Macaca mulatta: one gene and its partners. The protein of the gene in region 2 purifies or fractionates together with the protein of the main gene of each other region. This does not show direct contact. Links are inferred from orthologs where the notes say so. Each region holds a gene or a part of one and is shown on either strand. Other genes may lie near its edges. The genes, in order: IFI16, MKI67 and G3BP1.

Region 1 (2,971 bases), on a different chromosome or scaffold from region 2:
ATGTGTTGAAACCGAAAGGCACACTGTAAGCCTAAGAATTCACGAAGCTTTTTTTTTTTTTGCATTTTATTGCCCCTATTTATAAATTGAGCAGTTAAGCTATGTGACTCTTCTAGTCTTTTTGCTTTCGTATTTTTCTTATTATTTAATGCAGAAGTCAGTTGCTCAACAATCTCCTGATGAATTAATGAATAGAAGAGGCAAGAACACTTTGAAGTCCAAATGATCAGAATTTTAGCTAACTGTTAGACATAGCTGCATTCTAAAGCAGAGTAGTCTATTTGATTTCTTACTCTGATTGTCACAATCAGGATTCAGGCTTGGGAGAGCAACTCTTTTGTTCACAATTAAATTAAGTTGTCATTGATGCAGATGGAGCAGAACTCAAAGAAACAAAATTCTAAGGATATATGTGTTGATATAAACTGCACTGCCCTGGACAAGGGTGGCTGTGAATAGATCATCACAGCTGATAAAATGCCAAGTTCCCTAGTGACTGTCTTTTGTTTTTTTTTTTCCTGAGACAGTGTCTTGCTCTGTTGCCCAGGTTGGAGTGCAGTGGCATGATCTTGGCTCACTGCAAGCTTTGCCTCCCAGGTTCACACCATTCTCCTGCCTCAGCCTCCCAAGTAGCTGGGACTATAGGCGCCCACCACCACGCCCGGCTAATTTTTTGTATTTTTAGGAGAGACGAGGTTTCACCTTGTTAGCCAGGATGGTCTCGATCTCCCGACCTCGTGATCCCCCCGCCTTGGCCTCCCAAAGTGCTGGGATTACAGGCGTGAGCCACCACGCCCAGCCTAGTGACTGTCTTTCTAAATAACTTGCATGGTGACACCTTAAGAAGAGGAATGTTGAGATATAAAGTACCCCATATCCTGAAATGAACTCTATTCAATTATCTCTAGTGCTGGGAGGGGTGAAGGGGTTGATTTCCTGTGTTGAGTAAGTTGACCAAACTCCAGTTGACAAGACTTTAAAAATTTGGGGTTGCAGGAGAAACTATAAAACAATGGTGTGGGCTTACCTTATGTACCTCAAACACCCCATTCACAAAACTTCCTTTAGCTTGTGAGCAAAGATAACTGATTTTAGGAGTTGTGTTGGCACTTCTAATCAATCCTTGTGGGATCTCCATTTTTCGGTCGGCATTCACATCAACCACAACTGTTAAAGGATATACCTCCAGGAACCCACTGCGGCAAACATAATTTGAGATGGCAATGATCTTCTTTGGGGTGAACTTCTCCTTTAGGTCAATATTAAAAACCTTCACTCGGAAGACTTCATTCTCAGTTGCCACTGTGGCATGAAACATTTTCTTCTGCTCTATGGGCTCATACACAAATGATTCTGTTGCGTTCAGCACCATCACTTCTTTGAGGTCACTCTGGACACCGTCTAATGTGGAAACTTCTTCGGGTCCAGTCTTCAGTCTTGGTGTCAACTTAGAATGTAGAGACCAAAACACAGGCACAATTAAAACAGGAAATACAGGGTCACTCTCTAGTGAGAGTCATCCCAGTCTCAGTGTTGGTCATCAAGTATCACCTTAACTGGGTGAAGTAGGGAAAACTAGACAGAGATCACTGAGATAGTATAATTTAGGTAACGGAAGAAATTAAAAAGATTTAAGGAGTGATTTTATCATCGTCATTGTTTTATGAGAGTGGAAGGAAGAATATTTCTTTTTTGATGAGAATTAACCCATAAAGAAAAGGCATATCCCCTATCAAGAGGTATGGGGAAGCAGAGGGTAAAGGCAAAGCTGCCATGAAGTGACTCCCAAAAGAGATGAAATTTTAAAAGAATCTCAATTTTACTCCTTTCTACCCAGGTTAGGTCACATTGAGCACTGCTGGTCCGTGGAGGCAGCTGTCCTGCCTCCATGTTCTGGTCGCTAGGTCTCCCTTGATCCCTTCTTGCCTCAATACTTCCTCTTCCAGATCAGCAGCCCCTGCAATTCAAAGTGCTCTCCTACAACTCAGAAATAGTGCAGACCACTGTGGAGAGAGGAGGTTAAAGAAAAGTCCCCTCCTGCCTAATATGACAGCAACAAAAAAATAAAAATAAACATAGAGAAAAAAATCACTATTAATAGCACTCAGAGTAAGGAATAGTCTCAATCACAAACCTTAGATTTCATGAGATTTCAGTTGGAACTCATTCTAGTAGATAGGGGCATTTTAAAGACCCAAATCACAAAGCCCTTTCCAATGAAGCAGCACTGTGTTGCAAAAACATCATTGAGGCAGCCACTGGAAGACTCCATGAACTTCCCTAATCTGAAGGGGCCCAGGTTAGAGGCTGTCCAATCTGAATAATGGCAGGAACTAAAAAGAGTCATGGACTTGGAAAATTAGGCAGGAGGGGACTTTTCTTTAACCTCCTGTCTCCACAGTGGCCTGCACGATTTCTGAGTTGTAGAAGAGGACTTTGAATTGCAGGGTAGGCTGTTGATCTGGAAGATGAAGTATGGAGGCAAGAAGGGATCAAGGGAGTCTTAGAGACCAGAACATGGAGGCAGGATGGCTGCCTCCACAGATCAGCAGTGTGACCTGACCCGGAAGATTATATAGGCCACCTGTGAGTGATGGCTTTAACTCTCTGATGGATTTAACTCTAATGAACTCATCAGTGTGGCAAATTTTCCATAGCATTAGGAAACCCATTCCCAATGAAGTTAATCAGTATCAAATCACCTCACAATAGCCATGACATCAGTACCCTGACACAAGGTGCACAGGACGTAAGGAAATAATTATAAAGCTACTATGAGGACAATGAAAGATCTGAGAGGCATGCGATCTTATACTGTTCGTTGTAAATACACAGAATACTGGAAACAACATAAAGCCAAATAATGTAGGATCATTTGATAATGTATGGAATAACTGCAATTTTTCTGGTGCAATAAAATAATTTAAATCTATATTGTATGACTGAATGGCAGTTCAAGATATATTAATAA
Region 2 (3,658 bases):
GGCAAAGCACACACACACACAAAGAATTAGCAAGTGGTGATGAAGGCATCAAAGTATTTAAACAACGTGCAAAGAAGAAACCGAACCCAGTAGAAGAGGAACCCAGCAGGAGAAGGCCAAGAGCACCTAAGGAAAAGGCCCAACCCCTAGAAGACCCGGCCGGCTTCAAAGAGCTCTCTGAACCATCAGGTCACACTCAGGAACCACTGACTGCTGGCAAAGCCACTAAAATACCCTGCAAATCTCCCCCAGTAGAAGTAGTAGACACCACAGCAAGCACAAGGAGGCATCTCAGGACACGTGTGCAGAAGGTACAAGTAAAAGAAGAGCCTTCAGCAGTTAAGTTCACACAAACATCAGGGGGAACCACGGACGCAGATAAAGAACCAGTAGGTGAAGATAAAGGCATCAAAGCAGTGAAGGAATCTGCAAAACAGACACTGGCTCCAGCAGCAAGTGTAACTGGCAGCAGGAGACGGCCAAGAGCACCCAGGGAAAATGCCCAAGCCCTAGAGGACCTGGCTGACTTCAAAGACCCAGCACCGGGTCACACTGAAGAATCAATGACTGATGACAAAACCACTAAAATACCCTGCAAATCATCACCAGAACTAGTAGACACTGCAACAAGTTCAAAGAGACGGCCCAGGACACGTGCCCAGAAAGTAGCAGTGAAGGAGGAGCTGTTAGCAGTCGGCAGTCTCACACAAACATCAGGGGAGACCGCGCACACCGACAAAGAGCCGGTAGGCGAGGACAAAGGCATGAAAGCATTTAAGCAACCTGTAAAGCGGAAGCTGGACGCAGAAGATGTAATTGGCAGCAGGAGACGGCCAAGAGCACCTAAGGAAAAGGCCCAACCCCTAGAAGATCTGGCCAGCTTCCCAGAGCTCTCTCCAACACCAGGCCACACTGAGGAACTGGCAAATGGTGCTGCTGATAGCTTTACAAGCGCTCCAAAGAAAACACCTGACAGTGGAAAACCTCTAAAAACATCCAGAAGAGTTCTTCGGGCCCCTAAAGTAGAACCCGTGGCAGACCTGGTAAGTACCACAGACCCTGTAAAATCACAGAGCAAAAGCAACACTTCCCTGCCCCCACTGCCCTTCAAGAGCGGAGGTGGCAAAGATGGAAGCGCCACAGGAACCAAGAGGCTGCGCTGCATGCCTGCGCCGGAGGAGATCACGGAGGAGCTGCCAGCCAGCAAGAAGCAGAGGGTTGCTCCCAGGGCGAGAGGCAAATCACCGGAACCCATGGTCATCATGAAGAGAAGTTTGAGGACTTCTGCAAAAAGAATTGAACCTGTGGTAGAGCTGAACAGCAACAACATGAAAACCAACAAAGAGGAACACAAATTACAAGACTCGGTCCCTGAAAATAAGGTGAGAGGAAGTATTACAACATCACCCAATATCATCCTGGATAGTTGTCAGTTTCTGTGTTATACTTTGCATGTAACCTGACATTATAAGTGGTTATCATGGCCGGGCGCGGTGGCTCACGCCTGTAATCCCAGCACTTTGGGAGGCCGAGGCGGGCGGATCACAAGGTCAGGAGATCGAGACCATCCTGGCTAACACTGTGAAACCCCGTCTCTACTAAAAATGCAAAAAATTAGCCGGGCGAGGCGGCGGGCGCCTGTAGTCCCAGCTACTCGGGAGGCTGAGGCAGGAGAATGGCGTGAACCCGGGAGGCGGAGCTTGCAGTGAGCCGAGATCGCGCCACTGCACTCCAGCCTGGGCGACTAAGCGAGACTGTCTCAAAAAAAAAAAAAAAAAATAAGTGGTTATTTCCCAAATGGGTTTCATTTAACACAGTGAACAACTGCAGGCCATGGTAAAGAATCTTCTTGGGACCTATAAAGGGAACAGACTAATTTGGGAAAAGAACGAGTCAAAAATGATAAAATGATTAATGCAAACTTAGAAGAGTTTCTCAAGAGCCAAATGAGTAATGTTCATCTTCATATGTTTGAAAAATTGATCAGAGGATAGGTGGGTGGTTCAGTTCTATGTTCTAGATACTGTCACCAAGACCAGGACTGGGTTAAAAATAATATCTATGTCACTATTTTAACTATCAGAACAATATCGATAGGGAGTGTGTATTCTTGAGAAGGGGGGAACTGTCTGGACTGTTAGAGAGGTTCCTACTGCATCCGGAGAAGTTTGGGGAAACTCCAGAAATGGTAATTTCCTATTCTGCCTTAGCAGTGATGGTTAAAGGAATAGGAGTTCATTTACTCTCTGTAAATGAATGAATAATGGAGCTTCTTTCTATAAACTGTAAAAATTAGAGTTGATATATGTCTTTTTAGGCATTGTTATTGAAATTTATCCTGAATGCCTTATTTGTAATTTGTCAGCAGAGACAGTCATTTCTCCATAGGAACAAAGTACCAAGGCATTACCTTGACTATCTTAGATGACAGGTTTCTTAGAAAATTCATCAGTGAGTAATTTTCAAATGATTTCTCCTTTTAGTTTACTATTGTTGATTGTTCTCCCTGTTGAATTTTGAATTTGTTTTACTAATTATTGGAATTCTGTGGATGTCTTCTCATTTCTTTAGGGAATATCCCTGCGCTCCAGACGCCAAAATAAGACTGATGTAGAACAGCAAATAACTGAGGTCCTGGTATTAGCAGAAAGAATAGAAATAAACAGAAATGAAATGAAGACCTCCCCAGAGATGGACATTCAGAATCCAGATGACGGAGCCTGGAAACCCATACCTAGAGGCAAAGTCAGTGAAAACAAAAGGTGCTTGAGGTCTGTGAGACCGAATAAGAGCTCCCAGCCTAAGGTGGCAGAGGAGAGCGGAGGGCAGAAGAGCGCAGGGGTTCTCATGCAGAATCAGGAAGGGAAAGGAGAAGCAGGAAATTCAGACTCCATGTGTTTGAGATCAAGAAAGACGAAAAGCCAGTCTGCAGCAAGCACTTTGGAGAGTGAATCTGTGCAGAGAGTAACGCGGAGTGTCAAGAGGTGTGCAGAAAATCCAAAGAAGGTAAGCTATTTACTGTTTTCCGTTTTTAGAAGAGACAGTGTTTTGATCTATTTTTTTGCCCAAGGTTGCAAAGGCAAACAAAAAGCATTATTTTCAACAGCCCTCTGCCAGCTCCCAGTTACATTCATGGAAGGAGCATTATCCTAAGACATACGTTTTGTCATTTTAGTTATATTTTGTTGTGTCTGCTTTGGGGATTCCACTTCAAATAGCAAATTCACATTATGAAGACTTTCTTCAGAAAGAAAAGGAATTTGTCTAGTGGCTAATTGACTGCTTATGATGTACCTCATGATACAATTGCAGGTAGCTGTCTTCAGCCTTTCTGTAGTTCAAAAACACCTATTGAAACAGAAAAGTTCTTCCCCCCCCCCAAAAAAAACAAACTATTGAAACAGAAAAATGTCCAAGGAATTCTTTGGAAAGGTAGAAGGAACAGAGGTTGGGGTGGCCCTGAGACACACGCTGACTATGTGAGAATTCCTGATCAGTGGGGAGTGCTTCTGCCCTCCAACCCCCCTCTAGCCAGAGACTATCTAAGCTAATGAGCTTTAAGTGCTACTGAACTCACATCAAGTTTAGCCACACATAATTACAAGCATGTGGACAAATCGATAAGAATGATTAGATTCCATTAGTGTTCTTCTGGGGA
Region 3 (2,957 bases), on a different chromosome or scaffold from region 2:
CATAATTTATTACCTTGAAGTTACCACAAAGTAATTTTTTTTTTCCAAACTAACTCAGACTAAACTTTTCTTTCCACCCACCACACGCTTAATATAAGCTACACAAGTATAAGTTGTATTTCTTCCTATTATCACTGATCTGGGCCAAAAGTGGTTACCAAAGTTACTTAAACTAACCCTACAAAAAACCCATGTGATTCAGTTACATTAAGTTTATGTAAAGGAGATGCTGCCAATTTTCAAATATTTGAGGAACTGGAACCAAACTGGTAATACCAACTTCAATGTGGTCTTAACCATCACAGCAAACCTAGAGTTTCTCAGTAACGCAAACCAAATATTCCTATGCTATCTTCGAACGACAGTCCTAAAGATGAATACTGTTAAGAAAATAAATACGCTGAATTTTACAACCTGGTTGCCCTTCAATTAGTAATGACAAATAATCAAACAAAATTTGTTTCACACGTGTAAACAAAACCTTCACCCATCTCACACACAGCACTCAACAAATAACACATATGTGAAACGAGTATTAGTCTATATTGCCAGATTAAATTTTCTTCCAGAAATATTTTAATAAAAATTGGCCATTTCCAAGTAACACCCACTGCATGCCCATCAATAAAAGAACCATAACAAAATAGAAAATTTACCATATGGCTATGATTTTAAGAAAAAAAATGCGGACACGAGCACATGAGCAAAGTCCAATATTAAAGTAACATTCCTTCTTACGGGCTATGATTAGGAATCTGATTAGATACCAGAATAAAAATACAAATGCTGAACTATTTAGGTCAAAGAACCTCTATAGAAGCATCTGTCTTCGAAGGCATTCCAGTTTGAGACTCAATTTTAGAATAAGGCATAACAAACACGTTAACAAAAGACATACACAAAGTGATGAAAGAGGGATTCTGTAATTCCCCACATACTCTGGACCTAATAAAACAAATCTAGATTTTTTTTTAATTATTTTTGTTTAAACAATTGCCAAGACTGAAATCAAAGATAAATAGAAGGCACAACAGTTTTGCTCTGGTTGTTATCTAAGTTTTGGGAATTTTTTTGCTTTTTGTTTTTTTACAAATACAAATTAAACATGAAAAAACTACTTTAAAAAACAACAGTTCAAGAAAAGCCTATCCGTTGCATTCTAGACATTTAAAACCTATTATCACAATTTAAATTTCAATGGTAAAAACAGGTTTTAGAATTGTTTTGTGATCCTTTATCAAAAGAAAATTTCTATTCCTTTTATTCAGTTTTTAAACATACCAGTGAGAATCAAAATTGTCAAATTTTCCAATGGCAATTTCTCCACACTAGAAGGTAGTCATGACTCTCAAAGAAGAAACAATTTGGGTTTTTCCTGCCTTCAAAATATTATCAAATCCTGTATTTCTTACAGGCTTTTGAAACACATAGAAAATAAGAAATATTCCAATGAAGGAAACATACCAAATGTCAGTAATACACAAGACATTCCTTTGGGGAAATGGCTGTTAAAAAAAAAATCCAGTCTGTATATGCAAAGTAAGCAAGGAAATTCAGTTTTTTTTTTCTTCTTTAAAAGTCCGTTATTCCTAAAATATCATTCCACAAAATTGGAAGTGAAAGACTAAAGGTCAGGAAAGGGAAGAGAGGGAAAGGGAGCACACACCATTAACACACAAAAAAAGTAAAATTATACAAACTTAAGCAGTTTATAACAGACTGGGGTCATACTCCAAGATACCAAAGGCTGGTCGAAGATTTCACCATTCTGTTGGAACTAGGGTTTGTATGACTGCGTGAAGATCCATGAAGATTCACTGCCGTGGCGCAAGCCCCCTTCCCACTCCAAATCCTGGTTTCTGCACCATGCCTCCACGGGGAGGGCCTCTCATTCCACCACCCAGCCCACCTCGAGGGCCTCCAGGTCCCCGAAGGCGATTATCTCGTCGGTCGCCTTCCCTGGCAGCTCGAGTCTTCTTCTCTTCGACATTCAGACGGACCTCACCTCTGAACATGATAGGCTGTAAGAATCAAGGTGACCAGACTTAAGAGTAGTGATGAGCTATCACTATCAAAGAAAGCTATAATAATGAACCAGCAGAGGCTGGGCAATGGCTCATGCCTGTAATCCCAGCACTTTGGGAGGCTGAGGCAAGTGGATCACGAGGTCAGGAGTTCAAGACCAGCCTGACCAACATGGTGAAATACCATCTCTACTAAAAAAATACAAAAATTAGCCAGGCATGATGGCACACGCCTGTAGTCCCAGCTACTCAGGAGGCTGAGGCAGGAGAATCACTTGAATCTGGGAGGCAGAGGTTGCAGTGAGCCAAGATCGCACCATTGCACTCCAGTCTGGGAAACAGAGCAAGACACCGTCTCAGAAAAAAAAAAGAACCAGCAGATTATAAATCAGCTAAATTCTCACAGTTCAGTTTTTTGTTTGTTTGTTTTTTTAATGCGACAGAGTTTCACTCGTCACCCAGACTGGAGTGTAATGGCACGATCTTGGCTCACCGCAACTTCTGCCTCCCAGGTTCAAGCGATTTTCCCTGCCCCAGCCTCCAGAGTAGCTGGGATTAGAGGCGCCCACCACCACACCTGGCTAATTTTTGTATTTTTAGTAGAGACAGGGCTTTGCCATGTTGGCTAGGCTGGTCTCAAACTCCTGACCTCAAGTGATCCGCCCGCCTCAGCCTCCCAAAGTGCTGGGATTACAACAGTTCAGTTTTTAACTGAGAACATACAATTTACCATTAACAAATACCTGGAAAGGTGATTAGGTAGGCAGGCCAGTTTTAAAAAGCCATTTTAAATAGCACAGCAGCACAAGTTAACTCTCATCGTACTTATTTTTTCTCATATAATTATGTAAATTGAATAAAGAATTGCCACCTTCTCCATAGATTTGGAGGCTTAGAATAAAACCTCATCACCGCCAATGCGAAAAGATGGTA

Evidence for each region.
Region 1: the proteins of MKI67 (region 2) and IFI16 purify together in Homo sapiens (affinity purification with mass spectrometry; 3 studies listed by BioGRID and IntAct, with this or other methods). This does not show direct contact. The link is inferred for Macaca mulatta from reciprocal best matches to the Homo sapiens genes MKI67 and IFI16.
Region 3: the proteins of MKI67 (region 2) and G3BP1 purify together in Homo sapiens (affinity purification with mass spectrometry; 3 studies listed by BioGRID and IntAct, with this or other methods). This does not show direct contact. The link is inferred for Macaca mulatta from reciprocal best matches to the Homo sapiens genes MKI67 and G3BP1.

The regions. Positions count from the first base shown.
Region 1 is NC_133406.1:107,874,376-107,877,346, forward strand, and holds part of IFI16 (gamma-interferon-inducible protein 16), read right to left. Parts: intron 2,674-2,971; exon of another isoform or gene 2,537-2,673; intron 1,885-2,536; exon of another isoform or gene 1,685-1,884; intron 1,448-1,684; coding exon 1,028-1,447; intron 1-1,027.
Region 2 is NC_133414.1:140,141,616-140,145,273, reverse strand, and holds part of MKI67 (proliferation marker protein Ki-67), read left to right. Parts: coding exon 1-1,382; intron 1,383-2,571; coding exon 2,572-3,006; intron 3,007-3,658. UniProt on the Homo sapiens protein: Protein that associates with the surface of mitotic chromosomes and acts both as a chromosome repellent during early mitosis and chromosome attractant during late mitosis.
Region 3 is NC_133411.1:160,744,639-160,747,595, reverse strand, and holds the end of G3BP1 (ras GTPase-activating protein-binding protein 1), read right to left. Parts: intron 2,022-2,957; coding exon 1,815-2,021; 3' UTR 549-1,814; downstream 1-548. UniProt on the Homo sapiens protein: Protein involved in various processes, such as stress granule formation and innate immunity. Plays an essential role in stress granule formation.